Saccharomyces cerevisiae S288C: one gene and its partners. The gene in region 1 interacts genetically with each later gene. Each region holds a gene or a part of one and is shown on either strand. Other genes may lie near its edges.

Region 1 (6,386 bases):
ATTCTTGAGCAGTAATACTCTGACTTTTTTACGACTAGACATCTCTCGAGCAAGGTCTATTTTACCTTTCTGTTTCCTTATCCTTTGACACTAAAATTCAAAAAACTCACTAGAAAGTTCACTAAAGCGCCTTAGCTGACTACAGCACAACCCAACCCCAAAAACTAGTGAACTACACACTAAGAGAATTTATGGTATTTCCATAATTGAAGTATATGTACGATGTATACAATGTAAACAAGAGAGTAATGAAGTGAAGATATGTACACCTAGAGCGAACCAATGATAATTTGTTTTCTTAATTAAGAAAAACCATTAAAACTGGATTAGATTTCAATAATGAAAAGCTAGGAACAAAAAAAATTGGTCTACTTCCAGCCATTTGCGCTTTATATAGACATATGGAGGCGTGATGTCTTAAGCATGGTAATCCGGAAGATCAGTTTATTGAATGATGGTTTTCTTATCCTGAAGGATCCTGCAAATGAAGTAAGTTCAAAGAATTGAAATGAAATCGCCTTTTATACCCTCGCCGCACCAAGGAGCGCGCTGTGAAAATTTTTCGCTTTATCTCTTAGGGCTCCTACTGTCGGTAGAGAAAAGTTGAGTATATTTAAAGCATGAGGTAACTTTTCTGCCCATTTTTACTTCTATTTCCATTTGAATTCAGAAAAGTGAAGCAAAATTACACCATGAGTTCCTATTAACGTCAGCCTCTTTTGTACTCATAATGTGGCTTCGGATGTTTGATGGGCGTTGCTTCAGTGCGTACGGCTCATGGTAGATTAATTATTAGAAAGATGTATCTCCAGCTGTTGATATTAGAGGGGGAAGCCTTTCTCTTTCACCTCGCCTTTTTAAACACCTGATACAGTTGGTCATGATTCGTTCTACATTTTAATTTCTTTATGTAACCACGTTGTATATTTTCAATCTGGAAAGTAACCTAAAAGAGTAAAAACTGTTTATTAAAAAAAATGTTATTCAAAATTTATACATAGTACACGTACAGCTGCCTGAAGAAAGCATGAGCGAATGACTTATGCTTCGTCGTCTTCGTCTTCACTTTCCAAAGCAGCAAATGCGTTGAAACCAAGAATTGGCTTGTCCGCAACAATATCTCTGGTATCAGCAGGTCTGTTGGAAGAAATATTTTTGTTATTTGGCTTGACTTTTAAAGTTTCTTGGGCAATGGTAGCAACTGGCACAGTAGAAGTTGGTGTGGTTTCTGTTTCTTCTTCATCATCTTCTCCACTACCCTTCTTCTTGGCTTCAAATGTGCACCAACCATCTGAATCGGTTGTAACCTTAGGCTTGTTGTGCTTAATCTTTGGTCTACCATGATGGTGGGAAGATCTTCTACGACCGAAATGACCAACATGATGACTGTTAAACTCTTCCTCTTTCAAGTGTTGCAATTGCTTAACTTTTTCAATGATGGCTCTAAATTCCACCGCATCGAAATTAACTTCCAAAGTTAAACTTGGCTTCAGTTGAAAAAGCTCATCGATAGTATACTTGATCATGTCGTGAAATTAAATAAAAGTTCTTAATCCTATATTCAGGTTACAGCTCAAATAATGTCTATCGCAATCGGTAGAATATGCTTTACGCCAAATACTTTTTCCAATTTTTCACTATTTTTCGTCCAGGAAAAGAGATATTCAAGCCTCGCTACTACCCGGCTTTATAATATAGCATAAGAAAAGGGACTATAAAGCCTTATTAAAACACTACTATACCCTTGCAGAGAGAGTATTATTATCTATGGAGATCCAGGCAGTGTGACATGAGTGAACTGCTTGCCATTCCACTTAAGCGAACTTTAGAAGTGGACTTTGCCACGGAGTTGTCAAAACTAATTGATACTACTTCCTTTCAAACGGCATCCTTTTTCCAATCAGACATACTCAAAGTTGTTGATGCAAGAAACAATGCGATTGCACCCGATATCTCAATCGACGGTCTTTCTGCACTGAAGGAATACTATGTAATATTGTTGCAATTAGAGAAAAAGTTTCCCAATAATCAAATAGAATTTACATGGTTTCAAACGCTATCACAAAAATCTCGTGGTACTAGTCAATACTCATTACAATGGGAAAAATTAACCATTATTTATAATATTGGTTGCATGTATTCACTGTTGGCTCTAAATAGCAACAATGATGCAGCCGAATCCCTCAAAACGTCATGTCTGTACTTCCAGAATGCCGCCGGATGCTTTAAACATGTTTTAGACCACCAAAAAAATCTTGAGACAATCCCAGTGGTAGATGACGCCACATTGAACGCTTTAACCTCCCTGATGCTAGCACAAGCGCAAGAATGCTTCTGGTTTAAAGCCGTGCAAGATAAACACAAGGACTCCTTAATCGCGAAGTTGTCACAACAGATCGTGGACTTCTACTGCGAGGCTATTAATGACGCCCAAAGGGGGAAACTTATTAGAAGTGATTGGATAAACCACTTAAAGGCTAAAAAGGCTTACTTTAGTGCGGTGACTTATTACAGAATAGCCTTATCTTTTAATGAGAAGAAGCAGTTCGGAAATGTTGTGAAAGCTCTGCAAATGGGATTGCAATTTATAAATGAATCAACACTATCTTCGCAAGCTAAGTTTAAAACTGTTGTCGAATCTTCTCTGAAAGAAGCCCAAAGAGACAATGAATTCATCTACTTACAAGAAGTTCCTTCGGAATTACCATCGATCAAACCAGCTCTCATGGTTAAACCATCTTCTTCAGCAACATTGTTGCCTTCTATTAAAAAGGATGAGACTTTATTCAAAGACCTAATCCCTATAGAAGTGATGGAATATTGCACAGCATACAATGAAAGGCAAGATGAATACGTTGAACAACGTGTTACCAATCCCCTTGCTTCCCTAAATAAACTATTGAAGGAGTCCTTGACTACTTTCCAAATACCACAAGGGCTTACAAAGGTGAGTGAAGCAGAACTGAGTCATTACCAGGCATCACTGAATAATCTTCTCATTAATAATAAAAATGTGCAGGTACAACTCGATAACATTGAGCAAATTTTAAATGAAGAAGCATTTACTGACAATCAGCTCCGACTAAAACACGGAACCTTAAATTGGACTTTACCCGAATCTTCAACTACTAACACAGCATATTATGAAAAACTAAAAAAGCTGAGAGGATACCTTGATGAAGGTAGTGCGATTGACAAACAAACAAATGAACTATTTCAAAGCATCGATAAAAATTTGATTGGATCAGAGATCAGGTTACCGGAATCTAATGATCCTCTAACGAATAAGATTAAGATGATCATACAGGAAAGAAATGATTATATTGATAGGACGAGGCGGAAATCTTCAGAATATAGAATACTTCCAAAGATCATTACATCGTATAAAAAAAATGGAACAGTCGACTTTGAACCCATTTTCATAGGCCATTTAAAATACTTTGACGAAGATTTAAGATACGTTAATAGTACAAAGGAAGAAAATATCAAACTTATTGAGGAAGTAAACCTAAGTAAGAAGAATAACCCCGGCAGAAGCGGGATTGAACCAAAGAAAATGGTAAGAATAGATCCCAGAGAGCTATATATTGAAGATCTGAGATATTCCTTCAAACTGCTTGATGAGGTGAAAGAAAATTTAAGTGCCGGCACAGCATTTTACGAAAATTTAATTACTTCTACCAGCAATCTGTACAATGAGGTACAGGAATATGATACAGCAAGAAGAGCAGAAAAAGCTAGGCTTGATAAGAGTTTGACATTTGAAGACCAATGATACCTGTCCTCATTCATCTATAAAGTATATTTTGAGCTTGTCATCCTCCCTTTCCATTATCAAAACCCAGCTTCACTTATGTAGATATATACACTCAGGATAAACTCCTTTTTCCTAATATTTTCATTCCACAGTCTCCTTCTTGTTTATTTTCCATTTTTCAAAATCAGCTTGACGAGTGTTTCTTTTCAAGTTGGATTTATGTCTTCTGCTACCCAAATGAATTTTCCAATATTTTTCGCCAATAGCTACAACGTTCTTACCATCTGCGTTACGACAGACGTTGCAAGTATAATGTGTCCAATCGTCCAATTTCTTCATCGTAGTTTCGCCTTTAGACAACAGCTCCTCTAGGGCTTTAGGTGCCCTTTCTTGCTTGATGGGTCGATTGCTAATAAAGTCATTGGAAATAGCTATCGCTCTTTGAGATGCATTCGTGTCCCATTGAGAAAGGTCAGTGGCATCCAGTAAGTATATATCGCCTTTGATGTCAGGTATCAGCATTTTCTTGATCCATTTTACCTGCCTTTTTGCGTATTGACGTGTTCTCGTTTTCATTCTTTCTATACAATCCTCCAATTTTACTGTGTTGTCATCAGTTTTCCCGGTTAGCCACGGTAAGAATTCTTTGAAGCCAATAACTTGCCAAACACCATTCTCGCATTGCTCCGGCGTAAATTTATTTTGACTGTAATATTCATATAATTGCTTGATTTCTTGCAAGGCGCCTCTTTCTAGCATGTCGTCTACACGATCGTCAAGCCTTTGGAAAAGTGGCTCCGGCTTACTGTATAGCCATAAAAATAGGGTATCAAACTTCAAAGTTATTTTTTGTTCGTTAAATGTCTCGCTTGGTTTTTTGCCCGTCTTATAGTAGATTTCCAACATTCGTTGTACCCTCCTGTAGTCATTAGGATGGTATTTGGTAGCTATATCAGGATCACACTTCACAAGTGTGTTATAAATCACATCAGGGTCAGTCGATTCCAAAATATCGAGCTGCTTCCTTGTGAGCTTACGTTCGGATGATTTCGTATCGACCCGCTTATTGAAAAGAGTCTGCAAATAATAATGAGTACCCCCAACAACGATGGGTATCTTACCCCTCCGGTGAATATCTTCAATAGCGTTCATGCATTCAGTTTCAAAACGATGGGAATAGTATTCTTCTGACCAATCTACGTGATTCATTACATGGTGAGGAATGCCCTCTCTTTCTTGAAGCGGATGTTTATTTGTTATAATAGGAATATCTTTATATACCTGCATAGAATCCGAATTGATAACTTCGCCATTAAATTTTTGTGCCAATTGTATGGACAACTGAGACTTTCCTACTCCTGTTGTACCAGCAATCACTATAACTTTTTTAGACATATTTAAGCAACCTTTAAGCGGTCCCTTTAGCATGAAGATTTTTGGTTCTATTTACAAAAGATATGTACGTATAGTAGCTTATCTAATAAACTATACAGCCCTCACTGAGCTTTTCTTCTTTTTTGCCATTTTAGAATTTTTTTCTGTTTTAATTTTCTTTCCGATGAGCGAAAGATGAACGTGTGCTTTCGCCTGATTCAGTAATCAAGATCTTAGATCGACGTTGCCATCGAGGAGCAGCAACATAAGGAACTTTTACCTGATTTTAGCTTATACGAGCAAAATTCGCTCTTTATCTTTCGAAGGCATGACCACAATAGCGCAAGTAGATATGTAAATAAATCTTCCTAAACCGGTCTCGGAATGCAAAGAGCTTCGTATTTCAAAATTACCCGAATCCTATACATGTCAGGAATCAGGTTATACTCCCTAGCTCTTTTCCTGTTTGTCCATCTTTTTCCTATCATAGATGGTTATGGAGGCGGCTGTTTCTGTAAGAACTACGGAGTCGCGGCCCGGAATGGGAGAAATGCGAAGAAGCAGGCCGCAAGTGGAAGAAATTATTGGGGTAAAAGATCAACTAATGAACTCTGGATATAAAAAGTACAGTTAGCGTTTCTTCCCAACTTTCTTATGCTGCTATCAGCAAATGCATTTGCATAGGCTACAAGCCACAAGCCACAAGCCAATAAGGCATATGAATAATAAGAGAAAAAGTGCCTAATTGCTGTTTATATCAACCGTATGGCGTGCTTTAGCTGCAATAAACTTGTTTTCGCCGATTACCACTAATGGCCGACTTCCACGGATCCCAAAAATAGTGCCACGTCGGTACGGTCGGGCATAGTGGTTATTATTTCCGGGTTGTGACCCGCTTCGGATAATTGATCTATCCCCGAGGTAATAGGCCCGTGCGGTTCCGTCTTCATGAAGCTGCAGGGGCTCCGCTTAAAAGCCCCTGACGGCTCACCTTAAATCCGTGTTACGACACTATGCCAAATGAAGGAAACACTGAAATGATTGCATACCCGCACTCGTGCTTACATGCTAATTGTCCTTGTCAGAGCAAACGGTACCGGAGGCTTGAATGTGTTTATGTGTATATATATATTCGCCTGTATGGAAAGTTATAGGTTGTCAATTTGTTGTACCTGACACATCGATTTTCTAGTCATCACTTTCCTGAAAATTACAGAATAAAGATACCATCTTATACACACACATACACACACAA
Region 2 (3,831 bases), on another chromosome or scaffold:
TTTTCATTACGACAATTAAGCAGCACAAGTGTCTGGCGCAATGCCTGACTACTGGGAAAAGTCGAAGCATTTGCACGGCGTCCATTACGATGGTTAAGGCAGTTTACGACGAATTGCGGAGTCAAGTTTTAATATTTATAGATAGCCCTGTCACCAGTATCGGGTGTTGTTTCTACCCAAGCGCCTGCCAGCCTCAAACAATACAACAGGTATTGTTTTTGGACAGCGGAATGCTGCGATGCAACAGTATCGCAGCATGGTACTGCTTTCCTCTAGTCTTTTGTCGAATGTGAGCAAGCAGCAGCTGAGACTCTGCCCAACCATCGTTAGCCAATCAGCGTCGAGAACGGGTCCCATGCCCGGCCGCGGCCCGTTTCGAGAAGATTTTTAAGTGCGATCCATCCTCCCGATCTTTTTATCTACAAGAACCATCGCAAAGAACAGAGTGATCTGCAAGAAGAAGAACTACAAAGATCAAAAAGTCTCATCTCACCATGTCTGTGTCTGCTGCTCCTGCTATTCCACAGTACTCTGTCTCTGACTACATGAAATTCGCCCTAGCCGGCGCCATAGGGTGCGGGTCGACTCACTCCAGTATGGTCCCGATCGATGTCGTTAAGACGAGAATCCAACTGGAACCTACCGTGTACAACAAGGGTATGGTCGGCTCTTTCAAGCAAATCATCGCCGGAGAAGGTGCTGGTGCGTTGTTGACCGGGTTTGGTCCTACTTTGTTGGGTTACTCTATCCAAGGTGCCTTCAAGTTCGGTGGTTACGAAGTGTTCAAGAAGTTCTTCATTGACAACTTGGGTTACGATACCGCCTCTCGCTACAAGAACTCTGTTTACATGGGTTCTGCTGCCATGGCCGAATTCTTGGCAGACATTGCCTTGTGTCCCCTAGAAGCCACTAGAATCAGATTGGTCTCCCAACCACAGTTCGCTAATGGACTCGTCGGAGGGTTTTCCAGAATTTTGAAAGAAGAAGGTATCGGCTCTTTCTACAGTGGGTTCACTCCAATTTTGTTCAAGCAAATTCCTTACAACATTGCTAAATTCTTGGTCTTTGAACGTGCCTCCGAGTTCTACTACGGGTTCGCCGGTCCAAAAGAAAAATTGTCCTCTACTTCCACTACTTTGTTGAATTTGCTTTCCGGTTTGACTGCTGGTTTGGCCGCTGCCATTGTTTCCCAGCCAGCAGACACTCTGTTGTCCAAGGTCAACAAGACTAAGAAGGCTCCTGGCCAATCCACAGTCGGTTTGTTGGCTCAGTTGGCCAAACAGTTAGGATTTTTCGGTTCCTTTGCTGGGTTGCCTACTCGTTTGGTCATGGTTGGTACCTTGACCTCCTTGCAATTTGGTATTTATGGTTCTTTAAAGAGCACTTTGGGTTGCCCACCAACCATTGAAATTGGTGGTGGTGGTCATTAGAAATGGTCTTGATTGATACATGCATATATATTCTCTCCTCATCACCACCGGAGCCCCTTTTTTTTTTCATATTCTAAGAAAGAGTCAACAAAGGAAAGAAATAAATAAATCTGTTTAAATGTACTCTATTCAATCACTAGTATTCTTATTCCATGTATTTACTGACTTTGCAAAAGTCCAAATATCTGTAAATTAACATGCTATTATAAATATATATATATATATATATTTGAATTTTCTATTTTTTCATCTACAAAAGCAGGTTATAGCTCCGTTAAACCCTTTGCTCATTGAATTGTCCTTCACGGTTTTTTGGTGGAAAACACAACATGGAACATAACATTTAAACATCGTTCTCAATCCATTTCATCGCAGTAACATATTTGGTCGGGCACATACGGACACGTATATGTTATACAGATAAATATAGCTTAAATATGGCTATATTTACACAACACAATGCTCGTGGGTCGTTACCCGACCATGCAGGATCGCCAGTATTCTTTATTTTTCCGCCTTCTAACATAAAGAAAAATAAACAAAAAAGTATTTGATCGAAAAGTAAAATAGGTAGACACCACGTATTGGCGACCCGATCTGGAGCCGTTTAGAAAGTCAATCATCACAAGGCCTAAAGTTGCTAACCACCAGCCATGTCCGGAATAATTGACGCATCTTCTGCATTAAGAAAAAGAAAGCATTTGAAAAGAGGTATAACCTTCACTGTGATGATCGTGGGCCAGTCCGGATCTGGTAGATCGACTTTTATAAATACTTTGTGCGGTCAGCAAGTTGTAGACACTTCGACGACAATCTTGTTACCCACAGATACGTCCACAGAAATAGACTTACAATTGAGAGAGGAGACGGTCGAATTAGAAGATGATGAAGGTGTCAAGATTCAACTTAATATCATCGATACTCCGGGATTCGGTGATTCTCTCGACAATTCTCCATCTTTCGAAATCATTTCCGACTACATTCGCCACCAATATGATGAAATCTTATTGGAAGAAAGTCGTGTGAGAAGAAACCCAAGATTTAAGGACGGCAGAGTTCATTGTTGTCTTTACTTAATCAACCCAACTGGCCACGGTTTAAAAGAGATTGATGTGGAATTCATCAGACAGTTGGGATCCTTAGTTAACATCATCCCTGTGATCAGCAAATCAGATTCCTTGACAAGAGATGAACTGAAACTGAATAAAAAATTGATCATGGAGGATATCGACAGATGGAACTTGCCAATTTATAATTTCCCTTTCGATGAAGATGAAATATCAGACGAAGATTACGAAACCAATATGTACCTACGTACACTTCTACCTTTTGCTATTATTGGATCCAATGAAGTTTACGAAATGGGCGGCGATGTTGGGACAATTCGTGGCAGAAAGTATCCATGGGGCATACTGGACGTGGAAGATTCATCGATCTCTGATTTTGTTATCTTAAGGAATGCGTTATTGATCTCTCATTTACATGACTTGAAAAACTACACACATGAGATATTATATGAAAGATATAGAACCGAGGCATTATCAGGTGAATCTGTCGCGGCAGAATCCATACGTCCAAATCTGACAAAATTGAATGGTTCGTCGTCATCGTCCACCACAACAAGGAGAAACACAAATCCCTTCAAGCAAAGTAATAATATTAATAACGATGTTCTCAACCCAGCATCCGATATGCACGGGCAAAGCACTGGCGAAAATAACGAAACCTACATGACACGTGAGGAGCAAATACGGTTAGAAGAAGAGCGACTAAAGGCATTTGAGGAGAGAGTTCAGCAAGAACTGCTGTTGAAAAGACAAGAACTGTTGCAAAGAGAAAAGGAATTAAGAGAAATTGAAGCCAGGTTGGAAAAAGAGGCGAAAATCAAACAGGAAGAATGAGTCCGCTTTTGGCTTCCTCACTTATTTCTTCTTTCTCTATATATATAAAGAGTGAGTGTTGTATATAAGTAAATACATCTGGTATATTATTTTTTTTTTTTCTTCATTCTTAAAAAGTATTAATATCGATCAGCAAAAAAAAATTAACAAAAAAGTTCCTTATTATATCTGCGTAGAAGTACTTATTTCTGCTCCACCTTTGGAGTATTTTTCCAAAATTGTGATGCCAAATGAGTAATGAAATAGAATTTCTTGTGTGGATCGTCATTATCGATTTGGTTTGGACAGTTAAAGGAGAATTTTGGAAAGACCAGAACATCACTTAGCAATTTTGGTTGATTTAGGTTATGGAATAATTTCCATGTAACCTTCTCCCTGACACCACTTCTCATAAAGTCATTGAAATACGTGAAAATAGTGTCAGTCCACAACCCAGAACCCGTCCAACTCATAATATTCAGATCATTCCTTAGATTGACGTTTAGTTGGTCGTCCCTCTT
Region 3 (8,573 bases), on another chromosome or scaffold:
TTAGTAAGAATACATCGAAAGATTCATTGTTAAACCGGTCAACTAACGACTGTCTCCCTTTGATATTAGTTGTCCCATCCATTCGTAGGTAGTTCAAATGTGATAAATCGGGATCTTTCGTTGATATAAACTCCTCTAGAATATCGAGCATTTGTCTCGATTGAGTGAAGAGTAGGGCTTTATAGCCCTGCTTATGCCACAGTAATAATAATTGCTTGACAACCTGCATTTTTCCGGATCTTTTAGGATCACCGTAATCTGGATTATGTCTCTTTGTATCTCTGTCAAGTAAATCGGGGTGATTACATATTTTCCTTAGAATGTCGATACCAAATAGAACATTTCTCTTACCGTTTTGTATTTGGTTTAAATCTGAAGAATGCAGAAACTCCAAATATTTGCTTCTTTGATATTTCGTAAGCTTACAAAAGAGAACCATTTCTTTCTTTTGTGGCAGATCTTTTGCAACATCAGCTTTCACACGACGTAACAGGTACGGTGAAATCAAGTCACGCAATGCAACAGCACATTTGTAGCCGGTCTGAACTTGTATGTTTGTTGCGTTTGCATAACCACCAATATTTATAGGTATGACAAACTGTTGTTGAAACACAGGTAGAGTTCCTAATTTACCAGGGAAAATGAAATCAAAAAGCGACCAAAGCTCGGTTAAATTATTCTGTATCGGTGTTCCTGAAAGAATGATCCTATTATGTGTCTTCAGTTTTTTGCAAGTCAATGAAATCTCCGAATCTGGGTTTCTAATCTTATGTCCCTCATCTAAAACAGCATACTGCCATTTAACTTTTAGTAGCTTATCTGAATGTATTCTTAACCCAACGTACGTGGTAATTAAAATGTGCCCATCAGTAACGACTTTATCTATCAACTTATCTAAATGATAGCTTGATTCCAATGCCTTCTTTGTCCTTGTTGAGTTCTTCCAATCCTCGTAAGAAAAATCACTTGGCTTTGAATTCATTATCAAGTTCTCTAGATCGTTTTCATCCATCTTAAATTTTTGGTCAGAAGCCATTCCTGAACCCATTGAGTGCAATATGACCGTCCTCAATGGAGGCCACCAATGCTGGAACTCATTACACCATTGCTTCATCACAGTTGCAGGACAGACAATTAATACAGGGCCTGTTAATAGACCTGAATGATGCAACGCTGCGATAAATGCGATAACTTGAATCGTTTTTCCCAGACCCATTTCGTCACCAATAATACCGCCACAGTTCTGCTGGTAAAGCTCATAGAGCCACTGAACGCACGTCTTTTGGTAATTAAATAACAGCGAGTATATTTCACCGGGTATTTTGAACTGGCTATTAAGTTTTGCGTCGGGAATATTCGGATGAGGTCTTCGCCATTCTGGCAAGTCCGATGACCTTTGACTACCGCAAGAACGTTGTTTCACCCATTTTTTTAACCTTTCTTGATAATACAACTCGTCCCCATCATCCTTCGCCTCACCAGGTTGGCCTCTGAACCGCAGGTCTTCCAGTTCTTTGAGAATTTTATCGTCATTTTCTTCTTCTTCGTCATCTTCACTCTCTTTACCACTCATTTGATAGTCTTGATCGCTGAGATTGTCATCCTCATCCGTTAAATTTTCTACCATTTGTTCTGTTGCCATTTCAAAATCCTCATCTTTTTGTTCGTCATTCTTGGCATACTCTCTGTTTGCAGTGTCCAAGCTGAAACCAGCCTTGTGTCCAAATGCAGTGATCTTACCAGTCCTGATTAAAAACTCCTTCTCAGTTTCACCGGGTCTCTGCAGCCCCTCTTTGGAACCTTTATTTTCAGCACCTTGATCTACCTGCTCTTTCAACTCTTTAATCCTTGATTGGATATCGTCTATGTCCTTCAGAACTCGTTCAATATCGTCTGATTGTAAGTTCTTGATCTGGTCTCGGAGATTCTGCTTAACAGATATCCTAGTGGTATTGTTCAACTTCCTTGTGAGATGATTCTTCTTATTGACATAACGTTGCAGAGCGGTCTTACTCCGTTCTAGACGAGTCTCTTCTTGCTGCAGCGATTGTAGGTTGCTAAAGTTAGTTACATCATTAGCTATTTTTTCCTCCAAACTGCTTTGGGAAAGCACGTTAACTCCCAGATCTTTTAGTGACTCATTGTTTTCAAGTTTCGCATTGTCTTGCTGCTCTTTATCTTCCATCACTGATGTATGTTTCTCTGAGCAATGTTATATATATATATATATATATATTATCAAACCTCTTCCCTTCTTTTTTTTTCTTCCACTTTTATTGCATCGCCCTTAACTGAAATGAAGCTAAGGTATAAATTTGTACTTAGACTGATTATAATTTCTACTTACGGAACTTGTTAAGTGCATTTTTATTGTTCTACCCTCTATTTTTTAAATGTAATGTTCTTGAATACGCTACATGCGTATATATATATATATATATTGTAAGAGGATTACTGGACAAACCGAATAAAAGAGCTTGACGCATATATTTATTTATGTATATATTTACAGGCCAATTTTCATAAATAATCAGTCCTTCTGCTGGCTGTTCAGAAGTTTTAGCTTTTCCATCTCCTCCCTCGGATCAAACTTTCCTTTGCACAAGTTTTCGTACTGTTGATCGTACTTGCCAGTCGACAGAGGTGCGTTACCTGTGAACCGCTTAGTCATGTCGACGATTCCTCGCTTACAATCCAAAAATGCTTTCATCTGAGCAATACAAAGTTCGGGCAGATCCTTATTCAGCTCTGGATTGTCAAGACATTCTTGAGGGTTATGTCTCTCTATCATGACACAGGGCGATCTCTGCAAACATATAGCGACAGCCTTCTTCTGATCTTTACAACTAGCTACCATTCTTTGATATCTACAAACGCACTGCAAATTTATTTGTGTCTATTCTGTTCCGATTAATTGTTATGGCAGCCTTTTAATATACTATCCCTCTTTCTTTAAAGCTGCCCGCATAGCGAAACCTCGTTATGTTATTGTTTCAAGCACTTCAGTTTTTTTAATAATTAAAGGGATCTAAGAACACCGCAAACAATTGAGAAAGTAAACAAACGTGCACACGCAAAGGTAGTTCTCATGTCATTGAACTTTCTTCCAGGACGCCCCAATGCTACCCCTCAGACAGCTTGTCAAGCAACATGGCAAAATCATACCATCTTTGCATATTGTTCAGGGAATAATTTAATCATACTTACCAACAAATTCACTAGGTTACAGACCATATATACACAATCAGACTGTACTGCGGTCGATATTAACAGCCAGAATGGATTCATTGCCCTTTCCTTCCACAATAGGGTGCTCATCTACAAGCCCATTCATCAAATTATGCAGAATCCCAAGTGGACCCAATGTTGCCAGTTGTTCCATGATGACACGCCAGTAAACTGCCTAAGATGGTCTTCTGATAATGAGTTAGCCATTGGATCTGATTTTCTTTCTTTTTGGAAAATTAAGGATAATTTTGGTGTGTATCAACCTATTTTGCAGTGGAACCAAAAACAGCCTAAACCTGTTTATAATGTGATTATATCACAAGATTCGCAGCTGATAGTCAGTATTGGGAAGTACGACTGTAATGCTAAACTATGGAAGCGTGTTTCAATAGTCGGAGAACAAGCCATCTTTAACCTTACTATGTTGCCTCATCCGAAACCTATAACTGCAATGCGGTGGAAAAAAGAGCCAGACCAGGTGAGTAAAAACAACACTGCCTCTCATGCTCTTTATACGCTGTGTGAAGATAAAGTTCTGAGAATATGGTCTTGTTTTGAAATGGAGAAAAACCATACTGTGCAAATATGGGGTGAAGTGCCTCTTTCCCCCACGCAGAAGTTCTGCGTGATAATAGACAATTGGATCATTAGGCAAACTCTCAGTGTGAAAGACTCGGAAATCTTTGATATATCTGACTCAGACATTGTTATTCTGGGTTCAATGACTGGGGAAATGGAAGTTTTGGCTTTGAATAATCTTTCCCAAGATCCTCCAAAACCAATGACTAAAAAGACCATTTCCCATAAAAAAGTCAAGAAAGCAACTATGCTAAACGATACAAGATATTTGTACCTCCCCGAAATACAACCCTATGACAATGTGAAGGGCAAACTTTCTTTTCTCGTCCACGATTTACAAGGTGTAATCAGACATTTACTAATCGACATTCTGCAGCTTATAAACAATAAAACCGAAGATCTGAGTGCCGCTTTAGAGCACAAATTTACGGGACATAACAAATCTGTGCAGAAGTTGGTAAGAAGCAGCGACGGCGAAGCTTTATTAACCACTTCGAGATTCTCAGAAAATGGCGTTTGGTACCCACAAAAGTTAAACCATGGGGTTTCACTGCGGTTACAAAATACAATACAAACAGAATCTCCCATAAAATTTGCAGTTGTACATGAGTTGGGTAAACAGGTCATCTGTCTTCTCGAAAATGGGGCTTTACAAGCCTGGGAATGTCCAACGAATCGTAAGGAGGACAGTGAACAGAAGCAATCATATTTACGTGTGGAAACGAGACTGAAAGAGGAGAAAAAAATCCATCCAATAGTTATGTTAAATACACCTGAGCCAAAGCATAGTCATGAGCGTCATTTCACCGCGTTAATATTCTCTGATGGTTCAATCAAAGCTTTTGAAGTCTCTTTAACACGTGGTATTTTTGAAGTAAAGTCTGATTCATTAGATATCGATGGTGACGACATATACAAGATCTCCATTATTGACCCTGTACATCAAACTTTTGTGAGTAACAGGCCTTTGATTTCTTTGATTACTAAAAAAGGTCTTACCAGAACGTATAAAGCCATCGTTAATTATAATGATAGGCATGTCCAATGGATCAAGGCATGTGAAATTAACACCGGAATAATGAATTGTACATGTATTAGAGGATCATCTACAGGTAAGTTATGTATTGTTAATTCTACTGGTAAAGTAATGTCACTATGGGACCTGAACAGGGGAGTTCTTGAATACGAAGAAACATTTCATAATCCTATCGAGGATATAGATTGGACAAGCACGGAATATGGCCAAAGCATTGTCTCTATCGGATTTACAGGATACGCTTTACTTTATACTCAATTAAGGTATGATTACACGAACAACACACCTAGTTACCTACCTATTGAAAAAATTGATATCACAGCACATACAGCTCATAATATAGGTGACTCCGTATGGATGAAAAATGGCACGTTTGTTGTTGCTTCCGGAAATCAATTTTACATCAAGGATAAATCTCTGGATTTGACTGATCCATTTACGTACCAATCAATTGGTTCAAGAAAAATTTTATCAAATGATATTCTCCATTTAAGTAGTGTTTTAAATGGTCCACTTCCAGTTTATCATCCACAATTTTTGATTCAAGCCATTTATGCGAATAAGTTACAACTTGTCAAGGAGCTGTTATTAAGATTGTTTTTAGCGTTAAGAAAATTAGACTTTGAATCGCAAGATGTATCTAATTTGGATTCCAATCTAGGAATGGATCCATTAAAGTACTTTATTGCTAAAGATAGAGACTATCCGGTCGAATCTTTCCCTGATCCATACCCCTGTTTCAATAAGACAGTGTCTCTAGCACTTACTGAGCAACTAACGAAAACAACTTTGCCTTATCTAACCCGCCACCAGCAGATCACGCTTATCACAGTCATTGAAGCAGTGGATGAAGTCACCAAAAATGAGAATATAGTAGATTACAACGGTGTTAGGTTCTTGTTGGGCGTGAAGTTATTTTTATCACATAAAAATATTCAAAAAAGCATATTGATGAGGGATGTGTCTTGGGCATTGCACTCAGACAATAAAGAAATATTATTATCTTCTATTGACCGCCACATAACCTCATGGAATCGCGCTCGAGAATATAGAATAGCCTATTGGATTAAGGAGCAGGACTTGGTGAAGAAATTCGAGGATATTGCAAAATATGAATTTTCCAAAGATGATAAGAGGGATCCAAGCCGTTGTGCTATTTTTTATCTTGCGTTGAAGAAAAAACAGATACTATTGAGCTTGTGGAAGATGGCTATTGGTCATCCTGAGCAGCAAAAGATGGTTAGATTTATCAGTAATGATTTCACTGTACCGAGGTGGAGAACGGCAGCACTCAAAAATGCTTTTGTTCTGCTAAGTAAGCATAGATATATGGATGCAGCAGTTTTCTTTCTCTTAACTGACTCTCTAAAAGATTGTGTCAACGTTCTTTGCAAGCAAGTGCATGATATGGATTTGGCAATCGGTGTATGTCGTGTTTATGAAGGTGATAATGGACCCGTGTTGGGAGAGCTATTGACAGCGCAAATGCTACCTGAAACAATAAAGGAGAATGATAGATGGAAAGCAAGTTTCATTTACTGGAAATTGAGAAAGCAGGAAGTGGCTATTAAAGCTTTGCTGACTGCTCCGATTGATTTAGAAAACAACTCAAGCATTGTTGATAAGGAAGTCTGTGTTAACAGATCATTCCTTGTTGAAGACCCTGCTTTGCTCTATCTATACAATCACCTGAGAAACAGAAACTTGAAGTATTTCATTGGATCTCTAAATGTTGAAGCAAAAATCGAGTGTACTCTGATCTTAAGAGTTACTGATATTCTTTGCCGAATGGGTTGCAATTACCTGGCGGTTTCACTTGTGAAGAATTGGAAGTTCATCGAAAGAAATTCCATACCAGTTCAGAAGCTATTAAAGAGCCCCACCAAGGATAGAGCATATTCTGCTATTGGCGCCATGGCGTCTGAACCAATTTCTACTGCTAGGATGAGGCCCAGTCTTTTTGATAAGTTTGGCTCGCCAAGTGCTTCAGATATAGAGTCACCTAATCCAAAGTTACCAAATAGCTTATTAGACGACTTCTTGCAACCACCACCAAATAGCACTTCTTCAAATTCCCTCGCTCAAAGTTCTTCTTCTGCACCTAGAAGTATACTGGATGAGTTCGTCTCTCCTTCATATTCTCAGCATAAAGAGAATTTAACTCCAAAAGCGCCAAACGACTCTGTGGGTGAAACAGACAACTCAGAAAATAGGAAAGATAAACTCTCTAAGGACATATTAGATGATCTTTCATCACAAAAGCCACAGAAGCCAAAAAAATCTGCTATTACCAAGAACTTACTAGATGACTTTGTATGATATCATATTTTTTATCAAATAAATGGATTTATAAATAAAAATAATTACATCTTATTAATGTAGTGTTTTCATATTGGGTTATTTAATCTCAAATTTCAGCCTTACAAGTAACTAATTAGGAGAAAAACTTTGATATATTCTTTCTTGTCTTTTCCTTATTCTCTTCTATGAGCCTATTGACATATTCTATTCTTTGTTCTATAACTTCGTCATCGGGATTTTTCTCTTTACAAAAAATATAATCTTGTAAAGCTTCGTCTAGTCTCTTTTTTTTTAAGTAACTGTTACCTCTTCTATAATAAGCCTTTGCTTGATCTCTGTTAGGAACGTTATCCATCTCCAATAAATACGTAGCATACATGATAGCATCATCGTATCTTTCCAGATTAAAGAGCACCAAAGATAAATTTAGGTAAATTTTCATCTTTAGGTTAATAAATTGGATGTTTCTTTCTTTGTCTACGTCGGGTTCAGGCATGTATTCATTGATATAATTTAAAGATTTTCTGTATTTGAAAAAGGCATTAGAGTAATCCTTTTTCTTAAATAAGAGCGTCCCAGATTCTTTGATTATATTAGCAGCCTCAAGAGCCTTACCAAAATCATCGTCACCGAAATGTGTATCATCGTCTGGATATTCTTCGTATACGTCACCGCCAATTTGGTCATTAGAAGCGTTGTAAAGCGGGACACCCATAGTTTTTTCCCACACTCCACAGTCGCTGATTCTAACGTCTGATTCAGGGACTCCATCAGAATCTACCCTGCAGTTTTCTATAGTGCGAACCACTGATTTTCCATGAACCACCTGCCCAAAAATAGAATGCTTGCCGTTCAAATGAGGTGCGGCGTATGTAGTTATGAAAAACTGGGAATTGTTCGTATTTGGAGAACCTAAATTGGCCATACCTAAGGTAAAGGGTTCTACAAACTCTCCCAAGTTTTCGTCTTCAAAATTCCCGTAACAGAAAGATTCATCATCGGTTTTCACTTCCTCTTTATCAGCGTAAATTGAACATCCACCTTTTCCAACAGACGATGAAGAGGAATCCTTTTGTGTCCCAAAGACAATGTCACCTGCCTGGATCATAAAATTCTTAACGACTCTATGAAAACCATTTCCCTTATAGCTCAGGTACTGTTGATCCTTCAAAGGACTCTTAACATCACCAGCGCATAACTTATAAAAATTCTCTGTTGTTTTAGGAGCCTTCTCACGAAAAAGTTTGCAGACAATACGACCAATTGGTTTTTTATCAATGGAGATGTCTAAATATACAAGGGGATCTTGAATCATCGCGTTGGATGTAGGTTGTTGCTGCCGAACACCTTTCAGAATAACGACTTTTTTTTTCTTTGCAGTTTCTCATTTTTATGATTTTCTAATCACTTCATCACTCAGCGCATTGGA
Region 4 (4,290 bases), on another chromosome or scaffold:
CGTGAGAGAAAATACGAGTCCATTTCTCCAGTGAAACTACCGTAGACATGGAATATCTGCCATTCTACCCCTTATTCAAGTGCCTTTTTTTTTTTTTTTCATCCCACATTTTATTGCTGCCTCAATCTCCATTAAGAAAAAAAATTTATATAACCAAATGACATTTTTCCTTTCTTCTCAAACTTTGTAATGCGCCTGTAACTGCTTCTTTTTTTATTAAAAAACAGCATGGAGTTTTTTAATAACTTAAGGAAACATACAAAAAGATTTGTTCATTTCACTCCAAGTATTTTTTAACGTATATTGAAAGTTCTCAATAGCGAAACCACAAGCAGCAATACAAAGAGAATTTTATTCGAACGCATAGAGTACACACACTCAAAGGAATGTTTGTTTCACCACCACCAGCAACTTCGAAAAACCAAGTTTTACAACGACGTCCATTAGAATCGACTAACAGTAATCATGGGTTTGCAAGCTCCCTACAGGCCATTCCGGAAAACACGATGAGTGGCAGTGATAATGCTTCTTTTCAAAGTTTGCCACTATCAATGAGTAGCTCTCAATCCACGACTTCTTCGAGAAGAGAGAACTTTGTGAATGCTCCTCCGGAGTACACTGATAGAGCTAGAGATGAGATTAAAAAAAGATTATTGGCCTCCTCACCTAGCAGAAGGTCACATCATTCAAGCAGTATGCATTCAGCGAGCAGGAGATCAAGCGTGGCTGAAAGTGGGAGTTTACTTTCGGATAATGCCTCGTCTTATCAATCAAGTATATTTTCTGCCCCCTCTACTGTGCACACGCAACTAACTAATGACTCTTCGTTCTCCGAATTTCCTAACCACAAGTTAATCACGAGAGTGAGCCTGGATGAAGCATTACCCAAAACGTTTTATGACATGTATTCGCCAGATATTCTATTAGCAGACCCATCCAACATTCTCTGTAACGGGCGTCCCAAGTTTACCAAGAGAGAGTTATTGGATTGGGATTTAAACGATATAAGATCGTTATTGATAGTCGAGAAGTTAAGGCCCGAATGGGGTAATCAACTACCGGAAGTAATAACGGTGGGTGATAATATGCCCCAGTTTAGGTTACAATTATTACCACTATATTCTAGCGATGAGACCATAATCGCAACGTTAGTCCATTCGGATCTGTACATGGAGGCTAACTTAGATTATGAATTCAAACTAACCAGCGCCAAATATACAGTAGCGACCGCTAGAAAAAGACATGAGCATATAACTGGTAGAAATGAAGCCGTCATGAATTTGTCGAAACCGGAATGGAGAAATATCATCGAAAATTACCTCTTAAATATAGCAGTAGAGGCACAATGCAGGTTTGATTTCAAACAAAGATGCTCCGAATATAAGAAATGGAAGTTACAACAGTCCAACTTAAAAAGACCGGACATGCCCCCACCAAGCATAATACCGCGGAAAAACAGCACAGAAACAAAATCGCTTCTGAAAAAGGCTTTATTGAAGAACATTCAGTTGAAAAACCCCAATAATAACCTTGATGAATTGATGATGAGATCAAGCGCCGCAACAAATCAACAGGGAAAAAACAAAGTCAGCTTATCTAAAGAAGAAAAGGCTACGATATGGTCGCAATGTCAGGCACAAGTTTACCAAAGATTAGGATTGGATTGGCAGCCGGATTCAGTATCCTGAAGATACTAAAAAGAAACCTTCCCGATGGTTTTTTTGGAGACTCTTCGATTGTATCAATACTATCCCATGGACATCAGTTTTAATAGAGGAGCTCCAAATTCCCAAGGAATTGAGGAAGAAGCGCCAATGATTTATATATACAAACTAGCTGTTGCAGCTTTATAGAGATTTAGTAATAAGAATTTTATGGGAACGTGGTACCGTTATCGCAGTAAAGAGTCAAGGGTAGCGAAGATCAAACCATACGATGACGAAATACCTTTAGTTCTTAGCATCACCAATCGCAGACATCCAACGTATCCGTGCGCGTAATCCTTCTCTTGGTAGTTGAGCACAGCATACAGAAGAAGCCGCGCGCAAGCGGTAAATGTCTTTCCTCCGGCCTTCTAACCACCAAAACCGATCTCGGAACATGGGGGGGGGAAGGTCCTCTGAATCGAAAAACCCGAGACAGCGAGAGGGATTTTGCAGAAAATTACAAAGATCACTATTTACTGCTCCCCTCACTTCCGCAGTCCCCTAATAGCGGAAGATGCAATGGGTGTGGGCTCTGGGTGCCCTTTAACCACGCCCTCAAAAGGGGGTCCTGGTTATTTTGCGATGGGCGCCTCTATAAATACAAAAGAGGAAGTGAGTGTTTTTGTTTTGGAAGAGGGAAAGGAAAAAAAGAAGAAAATTTACTATCGGTTGTTGTTTTTCGCCAGTATAATACAATTGATTATACATTTTGAACTAAACAGCACAGCACAATACAACAATGGATTCTGCCAAGATCATTAACATTATATTATCCCTTTTCTTACCACCAGTCGCCGTTTTTCTAGCCCGTGGGTGGGGTACTGACTGTATAGTGGATATCATTTTGACCATTTTGGCTTGGTTCCCAGGTATGCTATATGCCTTGTACATTGTCCTACAAGATTAAGCTCATTCAATAAACGAAAGTAACTATCAAATGAAATAAGGAAGCAGTATTAGGAAACGGTATCAACATGTTCGGGTCACCCTCATTTTTATTTGTTTCCTTTCTTTTTTTTTGTTTCTCTTTCTCTTAAGGTTTCCTCCCCCGCTGTTAATTTTAACTACGTGTGTATTTTTTAATAATTAATTTTATCACAAAAAAAACTTCTCATCTTTTTTGCCTTTTATCATTTTTGTACTTTTTTCTTCGCTTAAAATACACATGATATAGACGCTTAACTATCTGTCCTGCAAGTTTGTTTATCTATATAAATATAGCCAGTATCATCCGTTTACCTGTGTTGTAGAGTTCCAAAAGATAGAACAGCCTTTTATCAGATGGGTGGCAGACCCTTACCCATATTATCTCTCTTATTTTGTTTTTATTTCTCTCTAGCCTTATAATTATTTTTAGTTTCCTTTCTGTAGCAATAAGTGTTCTTAGCAGTGGCGTTGCGTTGCCTTGACCTTGATTATCAATTTAAGCAGCTTTCTGCTCACAAGCCACTTCAAAACGACTCGTGAATGATTTTTCGATCAATGATATCTTATCATAATTCGGATTTGATAGGAAATCATCATCCTCTTCCTCGTAGTAGGCGTCTTCCCTCCTTTCATTAACAAGTTTATTCTGCTTCACAAATGTAACTGTACTAGTTGAATTCAAACGCCTACTTTTGTTAACACTACCTGAACTAATATCATATTCCAGACCAGCTGTAGTATGATTGATCAATGATTCTGAGGATTCATTTAGCATATTAATTATCTCCTCATCAATAACTATTTCCTCCTTTCCGCTTATGGGACCACTGGTCTTTTCTTTTCCATCTGCCACCGGTAATGATGATCTATTGTAGTGGAATAACTTGCAACCGTAATCAAGCAACCTGCACATGTAGAGGAATAGATCGATCGCGTCCAGTATGATAATAGGCAACAGCAATACGATGACACCCAAAGAGCACATCAACTGGAAAATGCCAAACATTAACATCAGTCCTGATCTTATTTCGGATAATATCCCGCAGTGCCACGTCAAAGATAGTACCTTATCAAAGGCGTGGTTGATAATAACAAGTGCTAATCGGCTATTTGACATGATCTCTTCCTTTCCTGATGAGTTCTTGGTATCGTGATCGATCACAGTTGAACCTATAAGTTTTCTAAGCTTCGGGAAAAAAAACATTGTAACTAAAGGCAATAATGGATGCAGATGCCTGGCAAGGAAGGAAGAAAAAAAGACAATAGAATGCCGTTGGTATATATTCTCCGGCTGCCCCGTCAAAGGACTTCTAAAAACTAATATCAAGAAAATCAAAAAAAAAAATCAAAAAAAAAAATAAAGGAAAAAAAAAGATCTCTATCTTTATGTCGGTAGATATGACACTCCCTTCACGTTTATCATCTCTTGAACCTTTTCTAGTTCATCTACACCGTTCCTATTATCTTTCTTTTGCCCCCTTCTCTTCCCTCGTACATGTTTTCTTGCCTTTTACATTCCTCACGCCCTACTGACAGCTATTGCACTTTGGCGGCACCACTCAGCCAGACTGCCCGTACCCGTACGATGACCTTCCATGCAGCCACGGCGAAACGCAAGACCGAGCATTCGGGAATCAAGGAATCTAACTTGCATTTG

The links.
Region 2: mutations in RIM20 (region 1) and CDC11 together harm fitness more than expected from each alone (negative genetic interaction), as found in Saccharomyces cerevisiae (3 studies listed by BioGRID).
Region 3: mutations in RIM20 (region 1) and RAV1 together harm fitness more than expected from each alone (negative genetic interaction), as found in Saccharomyces cerevisiae (3 studies listed by BioGRID, with this or other methods).
Region 4: mutations in RIM20 (region 1) and PMP3 together harm fitness more than expected from each alone (negative genetic interaction), as found in Saccharomyces cerevisiae (3 studies listed by BioGRID, with this or other methods).

The regions. Positions count from the first base shown.
Region 1 is NC_001147.6:836,473-842,858, reverse strand, and holds RIM20 (Rim20p), read left to right. Parts: upstream 1-1,789; coding exon 1,790-3,775; downstream 3,776-6,386. Other genes in the region: uroporphyrinogen-III synthase HEM4, read right to left, coding at 1-42; CAF20 (Caf20p), read right to left, coding at 1,041-1,526; MOD5 (tRNA dimethylallyltransferase), read right to left, coding at 3,899-5,185. UniProt on the Saccharomyces cerevisiae protein: Required for the proteolytic cleavage of the transcriptional repressor RIM101 in response to alkaline ambient pH, which is necessary for sporulation and invasive growth.
Region 2 is NC_001142.9:574,854-578,684, reverse strand, and holds CDC11 (septin CDC11), read left to right. Parts: upstream 1-2,083; coding exon 2,084-3,331; downstream 3,332-3,831. Other genes in the region: MIR1 (Mir1p), read left to right, coding at 495-1,430; HOC1 (alpha-1,6-mannosyltransferase), read right to left, coding at 3,514-3,831. UniProt on the Saccharomyces cerevisiae protein: Septins are GTPases involved in cytokinesis that assemble early in the cell cycle as a patch at the incipient bud site and form a ring approximate 15 minutes before bud emergence, which transforms into an hour-glass shaped collar of cortical filaments that spans both sides of the mother-bud neck.
Region 3 is NC_001142.9:490,967-499,539, reverse strand, and holds RAV1 (Rav1p), read left to right. Parts: upstream 1-3,088; coding exon 3,089-7,162; downstream 7,163-8,573. Other genes in the region: DNA-dependent ATPase RAD26, read right to left, coding at 1-2,185; PET191 (Pet191p), read right to left, coding at 2,531-2,857; peptidylprolyl isomerase CPR7, read right to left, coding at 7,278-8,459. UniProt on the Saccharomyces cerevisiae protein: Component of the RAVE complex, which is required for stable assembly of the vacuolar ATPase complex V-ATPase under many conditions.
Region 4 is NC_001136.10:1,011,799-1,016,088, reverse strand, and holds PMP3 (Pmp3p), read left to right. Parts: upstream 1-2,445; coding exon 2,446-2,613; downstream 2,614-4,290. Other genes in the region: MTH1 (Mth1p), read left to right, coding at 387-1,688; triglyceride-associated lipolysis regulator TLD1, read right to left, coding at 3,130-3,837; YDR274C (uncharacterized protein), read left to right, coding at 4,129-4,290. UniProt on the Saccharomyces cerevisiae protein: Plays a role in the regulation of membrane potential. Could mediate a proton leak.